3 linked regions of the Rattus norvegicus genome follow. The protein of the gene in region 2 purifies or fractionates together with the protein of the main gene of each other region. This does not show direct contact. Links are inferred from orthologs where the notes say so. Each region holds a gene or a part of one and is shown on either strand. Other genes may lie near its edges. The genes, in order: Mavs, Eif2ak2 and Npm1.

What was found.
Region 1: the proteins of Eif2ak2 (region 2) and Mavs purify together in Homo sapiens (affinity purification with western blotting; 3 studies listed by BioGRID and IntAct, with this or other methods). This does not show direct contact. The link is inferred for Rattus norvegicus from reciprocal best matches to the Homo sapiens genes EIF2AK2 and MAVS.
Region 3: the proteins of Eif2ak2 (region 2) and Npm1 purify together in Homo sapiens (affinity purification with western blotting; 3 studies listed by BioGRID and IntAct, with this or other methods). This does not show direct contact. The link is inferred for Rattus norvegicus from reciprocal best matches to the Homo sapiens genes EIF2AK2 and NPM1.

The regions. Positions count from the first base shown.
Region 1 is NC_086021.1:138,911,162-138,914,813, reverse strand, and holds part of Mavs (mitochondrial antiviral-signaling protein), read right to left. Parts: intron 2,755-3,652; coding exon 2,585-2,754; intron 663-2,584; coding exon 509-662; intron 1-508.
Region 2 is NC_086024.1:21,954,574-21,958,225, reverse strand, and holds part of Eif2ak2 (interferon-induced, double-stranded RNA-activated protein kinase), read right to left. Parts: intron 1,458-3,652; coding exon 1,321-1,457; intron 1-1,320.
Region 3 is NC_086028.1:18,245,634-18,249,285, forward strand, and holds the end of Npm1 (nucleophosmin), read right to left. Parts: intron 3,272-3,652; coding exon 3,170-3,271; intron 2,407-3,169; coding exon of another isoform or gene 2,398-2,406; exon of another isoform or gene 2,084-2,397; intron 1,403-2,083; coding exon 1,328-1,402; intron 453-1,327; coding exon 414-452; 3' UTR 106-413; downstream 1-105. UniProt on the Homo sapiens protein: Involved in diverse cellular processes such as ribosome biogenesis, centrosome duplication, protein chaperoning, histone assembly, cell proliferation, and regulation of tumor suppressors p53/TP53 and ARF.

The sequences.
Region 1 (3,652 bases), on a different chromosome or scaffold from region 2:
CAGAATCTAGTAAAAAAAAAAATCTCAGAATCTGGGCTGGCCTTATCATTTGTTTTGACCACAGAACAGAGCAGGAGTAATAAGACCTCTTGCCTTATTACTGAGCCTAAGCTCAGAGCTCTGCCTCTCTTTTATTTACCCAGAGCCTTACCCAGATGCTGTGAGTTGGGTTTTTGTGCTAGAGGAAGAGAGAATGAGGAAGTACCAGCCAATGGATGTAGTAGAACATTATGTATATGTCAGGGAACACCCGACACAAAATCAGCAAGATCAGAAGACCTACCCAGCTGAGCCATGTGCTAATGAATGACTGCATTTTAAGCTGCTGCTGCTGCTGCTACTACTACACACACAGGTATGCACACAGCACACACACACACACACACACACACACACACACTTTTATTTCTACCCTGCCTCCTATCTAAGGAAGGCCAAGTGGTAACTGTAACCCTAACCTTCATGTGAGCGGTCCAGGAGACCCTCTCATACCACACTCTATACATACTTGCTGTGGAGGGGCCCCCCAGTTCGGGTTCTTGCTCGGGATGCTCTCTGGAGGGCTGAGGGCTGAGGGCCGGTGGGTTAGGTGAGGATATCAAAGAGTCACCCGACATCCTTGGAATGGCCCCAAAGTTGGCCTGTGGGGGTTCCTCCGAATTCTGAAATAGAGGAAATAACATAAAGCCATTGCTTCTCCTGGGGCTGAAAAAGGGCAGCATATATTTATGGGGCTCAAGAGCACAAGCTCCTCGGAACCTTTGCTTGGCTTCAGGCTACAGGAAGCCTTCACATATGAGGCTGAAGCTCATCGATTATACTTGCCTAATGTAAGTCTCCATCCCTAGTACCTATTTGGTTTTTTTTTTTTTAAGATTTATTTATTTATTATATATAAGTACACTGTAGCTGTCTTCAGACACACCAGAAGAGGGCATCAGATCTCATTACAGATGGTTGTGAGCCACCATGTGGTTGCTGGGATTTGAACTCAGGACCTCTGGAAGAGCAGTCAGTGCTCTTAACCTCTGAGCCATCTCTCCAGCCCTTTTTTTTTTTTAAGATTAATTTATTTATTTCATATAAGTACACTGTAGCTGTCTTCAGACACACCAGAGGGCATCAGATCTTACTACAGATGGTTGTGAGCCACCATGTGGTTGCTGGGATTTGAACTCAGGACCTTTGGAAGAGCAGTCAGCGCTCTTAACCACTGAGCCATCTCTCCAGCCCACCTATTTGGTTTTTTTTTTTTTAAAAGATTTGTTTATTTATTATATATAAGTACACTGTAGCTGTCTTCAGACACACCAGAAGAGGGCATCAGACCTCATTACAGATGGTTGTGAGCCACCATGTGGTTGCTAGGATTTGAACTCAGAACCTCTGGAAGAACAGTCAGTGCTCTTAACCGCTGAGCCATCTCTCCAGCCCCACCTATTTGGTTTTGTTGTTGCTGTTTTTGTTTTGTTTTGAGATAGGACCTTACGTATCTCACCCTAGCCTTGAACTTACTAAGGATGACTATGAACTTCTGATTCGCCTGCCTCTCTCTCCTGAGTGGCAGGCGTATAGGTGTGTGTCATCATGCCCAATTTATATGGAGCTGGAGACTGACCTCAGGCACGTGTGTATGCCAGACAAGCACCCCAGCAACTGAAAGCTCTATTCCCAGCCTCCCAGGACAACTGTGTTTTCTAAAGATTTATTTATTTATTATATATGAGTACACTGTAGCTGTCTTCAGACACACCAGAAGAGGGCATTGAAACCCATTACAGACGGTTGTGAGCCACCATGTGGTTGCTGGGAATTGAACTTAGGACTTCTGGAAGAGCAGTCAGTGCTCTTAACCACTGAGCCATCTCTCCAGCCCAGTCCCCAGGATGACTTCAAGTGCATTAAAAAAACAAAACAAAACAAAAAACCAGGCACTGCTGAAGTTCCCTACCCATGTGTCTGTAACCACTGTCCTTTCTTCAGCAGTCTGCACAGACCCTATGGCTTCAGACCCATAGTCTAGGTCTAGGGTTTCTTCTATACCCCATTGTTAACTCACTTCATCCCGGTGGAACTAGTTATCTTCCCCTGATACCTGATTTTACTGTTGATAATTAGCTCTGTCACTACCCACCCTTCTTGAGCCCTCATATCACCTCTCTCACATACAAATCTGGTTACCCTCTAGTCTTTTTTACCCAGCTCAACATATCACATGACCATTGCAAAGACCTCAACAGCACACTAAGGGGCCACAGGTCTAGCCAGCAGTTAGGTAGCTAGTTAGGGAACCCCAGCATTCTTAGCAGAAATGAGGCATGATTTTCAGGAGGTAGAAAGGGGCTCTGGGGGGTTGGGGATTTAGCTCAGTGGTAGAGCGCTTGCCTAGGAAGCGCAAGGCCCTGGGTTCGGTCCCCAGCTCCGAAAAAAAAAAAAAAAAAAAAAAAAAAAGAACAACAACAACAAAAAAAAAAAATAAAAAAAAAAAAAAAAAAAAGAAAGGGGCTCTGGAAGGCTGGGTGGGCAGAAGTGAGCAGACAGGCACACAAAAGCAGGCAGCTTAAAACAGATTATGAGGACTTACCTCTACTGGGGACTTTGGTGGCTGGGTGTCCTGGACAGGCTTAGGGTAACCTGGTTTATCTTGGAAGCCACTGTCAGGGATGGTGTGGCCTGCTGCAAATGCAGAAGGTTCGGAAACCGTGGTAGGAATTCTTGGTGACTGCAATGGGTCTAGGGAGTGGAGTGAGGCCCCTAAGGTACAAAGACAGAGTGATCTCCAGAAAGAATCAGAGGTAACTTGGTAATAGAAGAAGCCTGGATGCTTTGGGGCATCTAGTCTCCCTTCAGTAACTCCATGACCCAATGTGGGATGGATTTATTAGACATGATAACCATCACTGGGGAGGGAACAGGAGGGAAAGAAGAACTGGGGAAGACAGGAAAGGGTGCAAGGAAAATGAGTGAGGAGGGGCACAGCCTTTCACAGCCAGACTTTTCAGTGCTCACTCTCTGCTGTCCCAAGACCTTTTCCTCACAGCTGTCATCCCCAAATGACCCCTGCCATGGCCATCTCTGACTCTACCATAGCCATTTCTTTCTTGAGAGAGCACCGTAGCTTCCACAAACAAAAAGACCAACATGGAAAGAAGGGAAGAAAAGAGAAACAAAAGCAAACATGATGTGTTCAAGATTGGCTTGGTTTTTCTTCCCGGATCTTCTCTTCAGGCCCAAACACTAAACTCCCTCTGGTCACATGACTTGGCAGTGACATTGAGAGGAACCAGACGTTCGGCCGTTATCATTAGAAACCAGGATATTCTCAGAGAAACCTTGGGGCAGGGAAGAGAAATGGCGAGTAGGGCAAAGTGACTGGGTGTAGACTCTGTACTCTACACTCTGTGCAGGTGGAAACAGAAGGAATGGAAACAGGTAGGGAGACAAACACCAGAGCCACAAACACGATGGCAGGTGCCTTGTGCTGGGCATAGGGAAGATGTGGAACTCCAGCTAAGTGCAGCCACACATGAGGGATGTGGCCACTCACCCCAGTGTGACAGACTCAAAACTTAAGGAATAGGGCCAAAGGGACATATAGCTAGTGAGTGACTCAGCTGGATCTAAACCCAAGCATATCCTATAATGGAGAGTG
Region 2 (3,652 bases):
CAACAGACAAATAAAGGCCTTACCATCAAACTGAGAATTTTTCTTTTAACCTTGATTTATATTCCCTACCTCACATAATTTAAACCTCACTGAAATGGCCGCCAATCTATATGAATAACCAGGACATTCTTGTTTACGTTTTCCAGGTAACATCTAATCCTTTCTTGCTTCATTGAAAGATCGGACGGCAAAACACCAAGTGATGATTGAAAAACAAACTAACAACAGACAAATGAAATCTTTTCGGTTTCAGATAAAAAGTTGTAGAGGGAAGAGGAGAGGGAGAGATCCAGCGCCTTTTCCAGAGCTGCTCAGATAGGAAAGAAAACAAGTTGGTAGAAAGGGGCTCACGGAGGCTAAGCCACGAGGGTACAGTGCTGTGCCCTTTGGGGAGGGCAGCTCATTGACAATGTGTTCAGGATTCTAACCCTCGTTCACACAGCATGTCCCTCACAGCTGCTCTCTTCACACAGTAGGACTAAGTCCAATCCTGAGGATCCACACTATCTGCCTATCTACTGAAGTGTGGAGAGCAGACACTCAGACAAGCCACTCGCTCTCTGACTGAAACTGGTAGTCATTCCATGCACAGACAGAATGGTTCTCACAGTTGCAGTTGCAGCTACCTCGGCCTCAGGGAAGGGAAGAACTCTGCATGCCTCATGCATAGGCGTCCTGAACTCTTAAAAGTTTAGCGGAACGATTGTTCATGTGCACCTCAAAAAAAAACCAGCAGTCCCCTCTTATCGACGGGGGCTACTGGATGACGGAAACCATGGATTATATCGAACCCTAGAAATACGCATTGTTCTTGTACATTCCTATGATAAAGTTTACCTCACAACCTAGGCATAGTAAAAGATTAACAGCCAATAATAAAATAGAACTACTAGTGCAGTACGCCCCACGTCTAGGTTTGCGAAAGTGGTCTTCTTCTCAAGATAGCTTTCTATGCCAAGCTCACCATCTAGTTGACCAAAGGTAACTGAAATTTCAGAAAGTAAACCCATGGGGAAAAAGCAGCCAAGTTTGATTGCAATAGACCCTATAGCCTCGGGAATTTTTTTTTAATTTTCAAATTTATTTTTTTTTTTCGGAGCTGGGGACCGAACCCAGGGCCTTGCGCTTCCTAGGCAAGCGCTCTACCACTGAGCTAAATCCCCAGCCCTGGAATTGGATATTTTAATTAAAGAGATGTTTATAAATTACTTAAAACCTCCCATAATGATTGTATAGAAAAGGAGCAAATATTTCTGGGAAACTGTGTAGGAAATGCTTCCGTTTCTTGGCTCACATACAGTGAAACAGTAGAAGTCTCACCTGTGAGGCAATTGGGAGTCGGGGTCACACAGTTCAAAATTTACAGGCAGATTTTCCTTCTGGGCAAAAGAATTGACAAGGCCAATGTAGTTCCCCTCTATTAAACCTTGTTCAGAAGCATCCGTGTGACTATCCACCTACAAAGAAAAAAAAGATATGTAAATCCAAATCATGAATTATCATAGGAAATTACCAAATAAGTAACGACCACAACTTACATGTTATGAATTTCCTAGTTATAGGTTCTTTTTAAAAATGAACTATATGTCTATCAGTAAAAAAAAAATCTGCAAAAATAAAGTCTTTTAATTTAAAAAATCCTAAATAGCACATTAAAAATGCACATATTTTTTGGTATATAACATGTTTTGAAATATGCATAGCTGAATTCAGATAACTACCACCTTCCACGCCACCACCCCCCCTTCTTTTCTCTTTTTTTCTTTTTTTGGAATGGCACACACACTTAAAATGTACTTCCCAAGCCATCTATAAATATGCTATTTGTCAAGTCATCCAGTTTCCTTTTATAGCTTCATTAAGAAAAGCCAGGTGAGCAATCTGTTATCCCAGCCCTTGGGAGTCAGGCAAAATGATCAAGGCCAGCTTGAGCCATATAGCAATCCTGAGGCTAGCCCAAGCTACAAAGAAAGCCTGGGGCCAACCTGAGCTACACAGAGAGCCTGAGGCCAGACTGCCTTACCAGCACAGAACACACGGGCCTAAAGTTTTATTTTATTATCTTTATCTTAAAATGTATGTATATGCGTGTGCCTGCCTACAGCATAGGGCTGCCTGAGGAGGCCGGAAGAGCGCTGGGTTACAGGTGGTTGGTTGAGCGCCCCCAACACGCTGAGAATCTAACTCTAGTCCTCGGTAAGAGCCGTATATACTCCGGACATCTGAGCCCTTTCTAGCCACACATCCCCCTTCTTCTTCCATGGGGAAAAAAAAGTATTTAACACTTTCTAACATGCTCTGTTGGTCTCAGCTTGATGGAAAAGACACACACGCAGAAGCAACATTATTATGATCTCAACCCTCACTGTTTCCAGCAGATCAGGGTTGGTCCAAAGTTTCTCCTCACTAATCTTACCAAAGGGCTAGATTTGGTAATTCGCTTCATTGATTTTTATTATTGTGTTCTTTTACACAAATTCCCATCATTGTTATTATTGTCATTCTTCGACTTTGAGAGAAGAAAGCTAGCCTATTTATCTAAACTTTTGACTAATTTTTTCCTAGCTTAATAATAAGAGAATTGGTGGTTTCGCTTAGCTACTTTGAATTGATTGTAAGAATGGCATTTCGAGTACGATTATGCGAGAGTAAGTTGGAAGGTAAAACTTTCTCATCTCACGCATGAATCACACTTCGTGTCTCATTCTGCTCCCACGGCTCCAGCCGCCTGGTTTTGACATCGTCATAGAAAAACACAAAACTTTTTATCATCTGCCTCCGTGATTTTAAAATCCCGCTCCCACCTGTCTTCCCTCCAATCAGTGCTTTCATAAGGATCAGTGTCGCTCATGGTACTTCTGTATTTCCTTCTATTGATGAAATTAATCTTGTCTAATATCGTGCCTTTATTTCATAAAAACTTTCTGCTCAAATATCTTGGATAGCTTTGTTTATTTGATGTTAGAGAATTGTACCCAGGGTCTTGCTCATGCTAAGCACACAGAACCATACACCTCTCCCACCTCCCCAGAGACCAAAAGAGTCTGTTTTGTTTTTGTTTTTTTTTTAAAGATTTATTAATTTTATGGATCTGAGTACACTGTCACTGTCTTCAGACTCACCAGAAGAGACTATCAGAACCCATGACAGATGGTTGTGAACCACCACGTTGTTGCTGGGAATTGAACTCAGGACCTCTGGAAGAGCAGTCAGTGCTCTTAACCGCTGAGCCATCTCTCCAGCCCCCCCAAATGGGTCTGTTTTATTGTTGTTGGTTTATGACATTTACTGTTGTTGGTTTATGTGTCATTTATGCTGTTTGCGCCTTCAGGGATGCCATGTCCAGTATGTTGGCTCTCTGTCATCTCCCTCAAGGAAAGTCATTCTCCCTAGCAGGTCTTGCACGGCTTTCTCTGTTTTGTTTGCCTCCTGAGGTGGAAAGGTCCTGTCCTAGCCCTTGTCAGCCCAGCCCATCTCCTGCTGAACGGTCTCATCTTTCCTCATGATTCAGAGCATGTAAGTTGGCGCTCAGAAGTGCACAGCTTTGTCAACAAATTTCCTGGTGTGTTTCTCACTCAGGAGAAATGCAGATAATAAAAAAGGAAGTAAAGCTTTGAACAAATGGTCATACCCTGACAGTCATAATTTCTCC
Region 3 (3,652 bases), on a different chromosome or scaffold from region 2:
GGGAATGACTGCTCAGAAATAACTGAGGGGATAGTAGGAATACTTAACTGGGATGAGGGCACCGATGAAGTATGAAACCATTAAATAAGCAAATAGAAACAGTGCTACTTTATTAAAATACTGAGTTTATTTCACATGTATATTTGTCTCCCTACCATTTCCACATCTGACCACCACTACTACTATGTCCTATCATAACATTCCATACATACTTAAAACCAAGTAAAGGGCGGAGTTCCATCCTTGAAAACTAAACAGGCATTTTAGACAACACATTCTTGGCAATTGAACCTGGACAACATTTATCAAACACAGTAGGGAAAGTTCTCACTTTGCATTATAAAAAGGACAGCCAGATAGCAACTATTACAGAAATGAAGACAGAATTATTTCAAACTGTTTAAACCATTTTCTTAAAGAGACTTCCTCCACTGCCAGAGATCTTGAATAGCCTGTAAAAAGGAAAAATGGTAAAGAAATGTTAACTTTATAAAATTAAAGTTAATGTTTTCATCATATAAAGAGAAAATGCAGAATTTTAACTCAAACATAGCCATGAATGAGACTCCTAACTAAATGGCTTAGCCATGACTTTATGGCCAATGCTGCCTCCTGTCTGTGTGGGTCAACCCTATTTAGGGACTCAGAATTTGAGTTTACAGTAAAGTCCAGGCAAGTATTACAAAGCAAAAGAACACAACCTGGAGAAACCCAAAGGGACATAACCTGTTCTTAATGAAGTTTGGATAGACACCTATAGCTCAGACTGATGAAACCCTTTAAATCAACTGTTCATACAGAAGGTCTAACAAAACCCATATTTCCTATTTACAACTAATAGAAAATTTAAATTCACACCCTTGCATGGCCCAAGTGACTCCACCACAATAAACCATACCATTTATCTCACATGCATGAGGCTTTTTAACCTATCCTAGTTTGATTTTACCAATATTGTTCTCCCCCCCTTCACTATCTGGAGAAGACACTACCACTCCCAAGAGAGCAAATATCAGACTGTGTAAAGCAGCCAAATGGAGCAAATAAAAAGCCACAGCCTATTTCCTTAGCCAACACACTACCAAGAGTAAAACTAAGTTCAGTAACCAAGAGATAATTGACCAACTATTTAAAAAGCTGGGGAAAAAATGTGCACTAAAAATTATTTGCTCAGTCTGCCAATTAAATTCTTTCCATGTATTTAAGTACTGTCTGTGGTTAGGAACCTTTTACAAGAAGCCAATAACTTAAGAGTCTAAAAGTAAGAGTCATAATAAATCACAATGAAAATTTTAGATTTGGTCATGTCCACAGAAAATTCAGTTACCTCCTGGTCAGTCATCCGGAAACAATTCTTCACATAATTAATGAACTTGGCTTCCACTTTGGGAAGAGAACCACCCTATTGAGGAAGAAAGCATTAATTATTAAGGACAAGCACAGAAGTGAGACACAATTAGAAAACTTCCAAAGACTTGCATGCCATTACACAAACTATCCCTCAACACTACCATTTGATTAAAAAAAAAAAAAAACAAAACATCGAGGACCAAACCTCAGAAAGAATGGTTTTTCACTGCTTAAAGTCCAATTCCTTCCAAACTGCCAGTTTAAAACTGTATGGTTCTACCAGCATGCAAATACAGCAATTTGGTGCCTATTATAATAAGTTAGTGTCATCACCTACCACCAAAAAACCAAATTAAATCAAAACTGTTTATAAAAGTGTTCCAAAAAGCACACAATCAAAGGGTTCTAAAATGCTACCCTCACTGTTGCACCGACCTGGCATGTTTCCAATTATGAATATAGGCAGTGAATCACAGTATCAGCAATGTCAGTTTTGCCACCAAAACTCTTACAAGCTAGGTACAACTGTAACCAGCATAAAGTTATCACTACAGAGATTTATCCCTATTCTAAATAAAGTCCACTTCTCTATAAATTTTAGGTTTTTTCCATTTTTATGCACTTAGCAAGTCTAAGGCTTCCAAATTCCAGATTCATCTTGAGTACTTAAATTGCCTCCATCACCTAGAAGATAATTCACTACAATTTAAAAATATTGTCACATACATCCTTATTGGTTCATTCAAAAATTTATTTCGAGCAGCTAAGGATACAAAGGTTAAAATTAAAACATGGTCAGAGTTAAGGCATATGCACAAGTGGTATAGAAAAGCAGTCAAGTTTTCTGCATCACACGAGTGAAAAAGAAAAATGCTTTAGGAAAACGATTGCTTCCAGCCTGCAAGGGGGAATGGATGGCCAATCAGGAAAGGGGATTGAGATTAAAATAGAAGACTTCAGTCTGGATTGTTGATGGTACTATATTTGTTTCTCCTTTTCCTCTTTCCCCATCTTTGGGCTTAATTTACCAGTAGTGCCCAGGAATGTTCAATGCGCCTGCAATTAAACCAAGGAGATAGGACCACATTAAAATGGGGGGGAGGGGCATCATTTTAGCAGTGTATGCAAGGGATAAAAAATAAATCAGCAACACCAGGAAACTTAAGTTTACAGTTTAAATAAGAAATATATGTGCTGGCCAAGTGCTAAATTCCAATCCGTTCGTGGTTGCAAAGGAAGAAACTTCTGAAGCCATGTGAGGCCAGGACAGGACTGGGCAATTTCCTTATCATTTCACATGTATACTCAGTATGTTGGAATCATAATGGAGAATCTTTAATTTTCCAATAATCATGTGTATTATTCAATTTTCTACACAAACATGCTTTATATAATAATGTATTAGTTCCAGCCAAATGGCCAAGAAAGAAATTCTACCTAAGACTAGATGAAAGCCTATTAGTAGCCACACATAAATTTCAGGTCATGGACTGAGTGTGCTTTGGTACAGAAGGCACAGAAATAACTCAAATTGTTGTGAAATACTTAAAGGTGATCCTTTTCACCTTAGCTATAATCTCAGGCAGCCAAACACTCGTGTCTTACTTTTCCAGCTGTTTTTAGTTTTACTGAAAACCAAGCGCCCTCTGCTGGTTCTACAGCATAACCCCAGAAAGGACATTGTAAGATTGGAGTGCACCCTTCCAAATTTTGAGTGCACAGGATTATTGTTATAATCTACTTTTTAACCTGAATTCCCATATTAGTACAATTTAAAGTGGGAGAAAGACGAATCTATTTAAAGGTAATTTTTACTCACTTTTTCTATACTTGCTTGCATTTTTGCCTTAATGTCTTCTACAGAGCTAGGTCCTTTGGGTGTTTTGGGAGTTTTTTCCTGTTTTTTGAAGGACTCTTGACCCTGGAAAAGTTTTTAAAATTGTTAGTACAGTTCTTAACAAATAGTAATTACAAGGATTTCTATTATCCTTACAATTCCTTTTATAGATAAAACAGAGAAGTTGCTAATATAAATTGATGCATTGTAGTAATTCTTCCTAGCTAGTCTCAGAGAACCAAGTAGGTCATCCTTTAAAAAAAATCAAGTCACAAGCATCTGTGATGGGATCTGATACCCTCTTAAGACTGTCTGAAGACAGTGACAACAGTGTACTCATATTTAAAAAAGGGGTTGGGAGAGATGCTTCAAAGTTAGGATAGGATAAAATCAAACTTGATAGGCCAACTCCTATAATAATAACTCCTGACAATTATTTGACCTCTACAAGTATACACCTAGATC